2 linked regions of the Macaca fascicularis genome follow. The protein of the gene in region 2 purifies or fractionates together with the protein of the main gene of each other region. This does not show direct contact. Links are inferred from orthologs where the notes say so. Each region holds a gene or a part of one and is shown on either strand. Other genes may lie near its edges.

What was found.
Region 1: the proteins of ZNF217 (region 2) and CTBP1 purify together in Homo sapiens (affinity purification with mass spectrometry; 10 studies listed by BioGRID and IntAct, counting the BioPlex papers as one, with this or other methods). This does not show direct contact. The link is inferred for Macaca fascicularis from reciprocal best matches to the Homo sapiens genes ZNF217 and CTBP1.

What each region holds. Positions count from the first base shown.
Region 1 is NC_088379.1:1,332,579-1,336,392, forward strand, and holds part of CTBP1 (C-terminal-binding protein 1), read right to left. Parts: intron 3,006-3,814; coding exon 2,851-3,005; intron 1-2,850. UniProt on the Homo sapiens protein: Corepressor targeting diverse transcription regulators such as GLIS2 or BCL6. Has dehydrogenase activity. Involved in controlling the equilibrium between tubular and stacked structures in the Golgi complex.
Region 2 is NC_088384.1:109,654,970-109,658,783, reverse strand, and holds part of ZNF217 (zinc finger protein 217), read left to right. Parts: intron 1-2,689; 5' UTR 2,690-3,032; coding exon 3,033-3,814.

The sequences.
Region 1 (3,814 bases), on a different chromosome or scaffold from region 2:
ATACAAACAGTTTCCCAATGAGAAAACTGTACCTAACCAAGGGCATTGTCAAAACCGAGCTGGTGCCACATGACTCCCTCAGGTGTGCACCACGGGCAGTTCACCCACAGCCCCTTGCACGCGTGTGGACACATCCATGTGATGTACCCACACGCCGATTCCAGACACTGGCCCACCGGCAGATGCCCCACCTGCACCCCGGGCAACTGTTTCCGTCACGCTTACCCCGTCACCTGGGGATGAACAGATGATACAGCATGCACCCCTTGAAACCAGCTTCTTCACTCACCACCGCGCTGCCGAGATCACCGAGGGTGTGGTAGGGACCCAGAGTTCACGCCTGTTGCTGAGGAGGACACTAAGGGAGGTGGCCAGTGTTCGCCCGGCCACTCACTCACTGAAGGGCAGCCTGGGGGATAGTCTTCTGGTTTGGGTTATGGTGAGTTAAGCTGCCAGGGAGCATGACTTGCAGGTCTGTGTGTGGACGCGCATTCTGAGTCTCCAGGATAAAGGCGTGTGGCCGCTGGGCGTGGGGATGCAGCACATTCCGAGTCTCCAGGATAAAGGCGTGTGGCCGCTGGGCGTGGGGATGCGGCACATTCCGAGTCTCCGGGATAAAGGCGTGTGGCCGCTGGGCGTGGGGATGTACGTTCTGAGGCTCCGGGATAAAGGGGTGTGGCCGCTGGGCGTGGGGATGCGGCACATTCGGAGTCTCCGGGATAAAGGGGTGTGGCCGCTGGGCGTGGGGATGTACGTTCCGAGGCTCCGGGATAAAGGTGTGTGGCCGCTGGGCGTGTGGATACATGTTCCGAGTCTCCGGGATAAAGGGGTGTGGCCGCTGGGCGTGTGGATGCGGCACATTCCGAGGCTCCAGGATAAAGGAGCGTGGCCGCTGGGCTGCATTACAAGCACAATCTAACCCCATGAGAAACCGTGAAGAATCTCCCAGAGCGAATGCCCCGGCAGAGCTCCCGGCAGACCACGCACATTTTTAACATCAGGTTGTCTTCTGTCCGTTTTGGAAATGCTTTTGCGGTCGTCATCATTTCCAGCCCCTTCCCCGTCTTGTTCTGAAGTTTGTGAGGGAGACCCTTCCTCATCTCGCCCTCTCCCGCGTTCCCTCCTGTCCACTGCTGCCCGGCCCACTGGTAAACCCGCCCCTCAGTTCCCCCGTTCAGCTTCAGCATTTCTCAGATTCACATCTCATGTTCTCCCCTGACACTGCTACGCCCCGTTTCAGGGTCATCAGCTCTTCGTCGGGTGTCTGGCCCGGCCTCCCGGGAGCTGTGCTGGGGTGACTGGCCCGTGGGCAGCACAGGGAGCTCCTATGGGCCGGCGCCGCTTCCCTGGCTGGTGGGTTTTGTGCATCTCCTTGACTGCCTGGTTACCTCTGCTTGTGTCTGACGGACCCCGCGCCAGACGAGGATTTCTAGAAATGACCTGAGGCCTGGGCTGACGCTGTCTTCCTCTAAAGGGGCCGTCCCATTTCCTTCTGCACCTGGGGTCAGCAGTGCGGGGTCTCTGAAAATCCAGATTCAAGGTTTCTCAGACGTCAGTAGGCTGAGTGCCAACCGTGTGGCGAGTCAGAATCCAGGTCACCCTCACTCCAGGTGTCACCTTCTGGGCCATGGATATCCCAGCAGGGTCCCGCACCCAGCAAAGCCAAATTCAGTCTCTCAGCCACTTCTTCCAGAACAGCCAACGCCCCAGGCCAGAGTTGGCGAGGCTCGCCCGTTTCTGCAGGCTCCGGGCCTCTCCGGGTTGTGGCCTGGGCCTGGCCCTCTCCCGTGAGCTCCTGCGGGCCCAGATTCTTCATCTGTCTTCAGGAAAAAGCTGCTCTGAATCACGGATCCCTGGCTACGAGGAGCCGGACCGACCTAGCCCTCATCACGGAGAAGCCTGTGGAGCTCCTGAGCAAACATGAATCAGGAAAGCTGCCCAAAGGCTGCCCACTGCTGGACCACAGCCGGGTCGTGGGCAATGCCGAGACCGCTGCGCATCTGAGGCGGGGGAAAGCACCTCACTCCACCCCCGCCACAAAAGGACCTGCTCCCTGGGAAAAACTGAAAATGAATCAAGAAGCCACAGGGAAACCCCGTGTCCACCTCCCGACGGGGCTCAGGGCAAACCCCATGTCCACCTCCCAGTGGAGAGCAGGAGAAACCCCGTGTCCACCTCCCGATGGGGCTCAGGAGAAACCCCGTGTCCACCTTCCGACGGGGCTCAGGAGAAACCCCGTGTCCACCTCCCGACGGGGCTCAGGAGAAACCCCGTGTCCACCTCCCGACGGGGCTCAGGAGAAACCCCGTGTCCACCTCCCGACGGGGCTCAGGAGAAACTCCGTGTCCACCTCCCAGTGGAAAGCAGGAGAAATCCCGTGTCCACCTCCCGACGGGGCTCAGGAGAAACCCCGTGTCCACCTCCCGACGGGGCTCAGGGGAAACCCCGTGTCCACCTCCCGGCGGGGCTCAGGAGAAACCCCGTGTCCACCTCCCAGTGGAAAGCAGGGGAAACCCCGTGTCCACCTCCCGACAGGGTGCAGGGGAAACCCCGTGTCCACCTCCTGAGGGAGCTCAGGAGAAACCCCGTGTCCACCTCCCGACGGGGCGCAGGGGAAACCCCGTGTCCACCTCCCGACGGGCCGCAGGGGAAACCCCGTGTCCACCTCCCGACGGGGTGCAGGGGAAACCCCGTGTCCACCTCCAGATGGCGCAGGGTGACTGGGACAGAGGCCGCTCCTGCCCCAGTGGCACACAGACCCGCTTCGGCCTGGGCTTGCTGTGCTCCCGTCCCTCCCCACTCCCCTCCAGCGTGTGGTTCTTCCAGCCCCACGCCAGCACGTGGTGGTACCTTCTCGTGGATCTCCTGCGTGGACTGCGCGTCGCAGAAGGCCACAGTGGCCACGTCCTTCAGGATGGGCATCTCCACTGTGCAGTCCCGGCCGTCCAGCAGCGCCACCAGGGGCCGCGGGTGCAGGGGCCCGTTCATGATTGGAGGTCGGACGCCTGCAAGACAGAGGCAAGTGCTCAGCTTCGCACCACTGCGGCCCTGCGGCCACAGCCCACTCCACGCCACCCACCGTGCACGGGTCAACGAGGGCTGACGCCCGGGGGTTTTCTATCCTATACGTTTTGTTATTTGTAAAAAGTAAATTAAAAATCCACGGGAAAGACAGACTCGTGTGTGCTTCAGTTCACCAACTCGAGTGGACACAGACTGCAGACACCCACCACCATCCTCCTTGGGCGCCGGGCCTCCGAGACCCTCCCAGACCCTCCAAGGTCCCTCCGAGACCCCGAGACCCTCCCAGACCCTCTGCGACCTTCCCAGGCCCTCTGAGACCCTCCGAGGCACTTCGAGACCCTCCGAGACCCCCCAAGGAATCTCCAGACCCTCCCAGGGACTCCAAGACCCTCCCAGACCCTCCGAGACCCAGGGCAGCTCCATGAGGCAGGGGGACAGGAGGGACCCGGACACTGGAGAACACAGATGGCAGCACGGGCCTTTGGGAACACGGTTGTCCCTTTCCTGCCTGGGCTACCGCGTGGCTGCCCGGAATCCCTGATGGGGTCACCAATGTTTCATGTGGGACGCCCCCCACGCTCTGCCTGGCATCACTTCCATTTACAGATTTGAAGGGAAAAGAAACAGAGCAAGGAAAGAAAAGGGCTAAAACCTATTAAAGTCCACTCTGTACCCAACCTTCCCAAAACGAGACGATTAAAGATCATTAACACCCACTCCTTCTGCGTATGACACAACTAAGCTTCACTGAGGCCAAGTGGAGAAATAAGGGCTCTGAGGCGTCACAGAA
Region 2 (3,814 bases):
GGAAGACCCCTTGGCCTAGAATGCCTGCCCTCATCTCCAGGTCTCCCAGGCTGTTCACCCTCCCAGGCAAAGTGGAAGCTTCCTCTCTTCTTAGATCGTTTCCCACTGAACCTCCTTCATTGTCCTTCACTGCAGTGAAATAATCCTACAGGGTCTTGGGTGGAGAGTAATGGTAACTTCAGATAATTGAGAATTGGAACCAAAACATTCTTCTATTAGTAAATGTTTTCAGTAAGTTATGCTGTTTCCCTGAGTGGGAAATAATAAAGTTACCCTCCATCGTGTTTCTTTTTTTTTTTTGGGGGGGAGACAAAAGTGTTGCTCTGTTGTCCAGGCTGGAATGCAGTGGTGCGATCTTGGCTCACTGTAACCTCCACCTCCTGGGTTCAAGTGATTCCCAAGTAGCTGGGATTACAGGTGTGTATCACCATGCCCAGCTAATTTTTGTATTTTTAGCAGATAAGGGGTTTCACCATGTTGGCCAGGCTGGTCTCCAACTCCTGGCCTGAAGTGATCCACCCACCTCAGCCTCCCAAAGCATTGGGATTACAGGCGTGAGCCATTGTGCCCGGCCTCACATCTTATTTCTAATCCCGAGACTGAGTGTAGAGCTGGTGTCTGTTTTTGGAAAAGATGTCAGTAGAGAAGTGGAGTTCCCCAAAATTACAGTTTCACATATTAGTCAAGTTTCTAAAATACAGTAATAATGTTGAGAGCTGACATAGGGACTTAGATTTTTTTTTCCCCCAAATTCTCACCTAACTTTGATTTTGCTAAATAAGGACATTTAAAACAAAAAACAAAACAAAAAAAACTCCACTATTGCTTATTGCCACTATTTGATTTTTTGAAAAATAAGCGTATTTTAGCATCTAAAAGTAGGAATGACCTCAAATAAATGAGTCTTTGTTCTTGGCCAGGGAAAACGTTGTCAGAGTTTGATAACTGTTTTTCTAGGGTATGTGCTGTTATTCAGTTAAAATATTGCCTGGGATGCTGGCATTCACTAAATACTTGTTGAATAAGCAAATGAAACTTAAACTTCTATGTATAGAAACCTAAGTTGTCAGACTCATGTCCAAATATCACTTCACATTCTGATTAGCAGAGTAATTGAATATTCTTTTCAGTGTGTAGATCTATCCCCAGAATCACAGAATATTGGAACTGTAAAGGCCATCCTGTAGTTTAACCAACTGCATTAAATACATAATAGAAGGAGGTGGTATGTGGCAGTGACAGCTTGAAGGTTGTGACTAGAACTCGGGTCTCTGGTGTGTTCTATTATATCACACCAAGCTGGTCACCAGCCCATGTGTTGATCCTCCATTGTGATTGCAACAAAGAAAAGACTTCAGGACATTCCTTCTTTTACCCTAATCCTTGATCTGCAGTCTTATTTAGAAAAGCTTAATGTTAAAGATCTAGTTTATTCAAAACTAAAGATAACAAGGAATATGAGAATTTATTTCGGAGTGTAAAGGAGATGTTTCCTTGCCTTCTCTGAGCCTACAGGCCCTCGTTACTCTTTAAGGAAGTAGGGAGAGGGAGGAAAATAAAGTATGTTTTTGTTTTTTATGGTTACTTTGCTGGGAGTAGTTTGCATCCCTTTTGATTTTCTTGGGTGGAATTAACTGACTTAAGTTTTAAGTAGTTGGGACTATTTAAAAACAATGCCTATCCAATGTTTGCCATAAAGGCCGAGGGTATTGGCTTTAGAAGTTAATTCTTCTCCAGGAGTGAAAAATTAGCTTCTAAACCAGAAGCAGCGGAGCTAAATAAAGTAATTTTCCACCTGGCCAGTGCATGATGTGAAAGGTAGATTAAAAAACGAGAGGACCCATTTTCTGATGAAAGACTAAGCCCTGTTGAAACAGCCCTGTTTGAGGATTTTATTTTAAATCTATACATTCACAAAGGAGCTTTGTGTATGTCTTTCCCTATTTGTTGTTTGGACTAGGAAGCCCCACCCAGTGCTTGTTGAAGGCAGAAAGTTGTTGAAAGCAAGCCGGGATTTGAACAGTGGATTGAGGTTTGGAATATACAGTGAACCAAAATATATCAGGGTTCCCCTGCCCAAGATGAGTGACTGTTCTGAGGTGTTTCATATTTCTTGAATGGGGATTTTAGGAAAAGTTTCTGTATTTCTGTGCTCATTTTGTTGATCTCTGTATGTGCAATCTCTGAGGGTGTGTTTGGGCACTTAGATTTCTTGGATGCAGATTTGCTTGTATACAAAACATTTTAAATTGTTTTATGTACACTGGATTTAAAATTTTTTAGTTTACTAAATTTTTTCATCTTAATTTTCACAGTTCTTACAGTCTTTAGATTTAGGAAGGCTGTTGATGGCATCCACATGTGCATCTTAGTGACATTTAAAATGTGTTCAGCTGAATTTAACCATTTCTGACCTAAAACTTGACATTTTAGATTTAAGTCAGTAAAGCACTGATTTAAACTGGATTTTAACTGGATGGAATTCTGATTTAATAAGTGTACTGACTGGATAAAATGCCAGTGATTTAATTAACAAGCACGTTTAACAGGATGCTGTATATATTAGTTAAAAGTGAGGCAGTTGAATTAGGTATCTTCTCTGCTGCGTGGAAAAGACCGTCTGACTCACCCACACCAGCCTTCTCTCTGCTCTGAGTGTAGCTAACCGTTTCTGTTTTTTTTCCTCTAGGGTTTGGAAATCCCTTGTCTCCAGGTTGCTGGGATTGACTTCTTGCTCAATTGAAACACTCATTCAATGGAGACAAAGAGAACTCATGCTTTGTGCTGATTCATATTTGAATCAAAGCATTGGGGAGTCTGTATGCCTTGTTTGTGGAAAGAACCAGTGACACCACCACTGAGCTTCCTAAAAGTTCCGAAGAAGTTAGAGGACTAGACACTTTCTTTTGAACTTTTATAATAAATATTTGTTCTGGTTTTTGAAGCCCAGGGCTGTTAGAGGGGTGAGTGACAAGTCTTACAAGTGGCCTTATTCCAACTCCAGAAATTCCCCAAGGGAACTTTGAGATTATATGCAATCGAAAGTGACAGGAAACATGCCAACTCAATCCCTCTTGATGTACATGGATGGGCCAGAAGTGATTGGCAGCTCTCTTGGCAGTCAGATGGAGATGGAGGATGCCATGTCAATGAAAGGGACCGCTGTTGTTCCATTCCGAGCTACGCAAGAGAAAAATGTCATCCAAATAGAGGGGTATATGCCCTTGGATTGCATGTTCTGCAGCCAGACCTTCACACATTCGGAAGACCTTAATAAACACGTCTTAATGCAACACCGGCCTACCCTTTGTGAACCAGCAGTTCTGCGGGTTGAAGCAGAGTATCTTAGTCCGCTTGATAAAAGTCAAGTACGAACAGAACCTCCCAAGGAAAAGAATTGCAAGGAAAATGAAGAATTTAGCTGTGAGGTATGCGGGCAGACATTTAGAGTGGCTTTTGATGTTGAGATCCACATGAGGACACACAAAGATTCTTTCACTTACGGGTGTAACATGTGCGGAAGAAGATTCAAGGAGCCTTGGTTTCTTAAAAATCACATGCGGACACATAATGGCAAATCAGGGGCCAGGAGCAAACTGCAGCAAGGCTTGGATTGTCCCGCGACGATCAACGAGGTCGTCCAGGTGCACGCGGCTGAGAGCATCCCCTCTCCTTACAAAATCTGCATGGTTTGTGGCTTCCTATTTACAAATAAAGAAAATCTAATAGAGCACAGCAAGGTGCACACCAAAAAAACTGCTCCCGGTACCAGCAGCACGCAGACAGACTCTCCACAAGAAGGAATGCCGTCCTC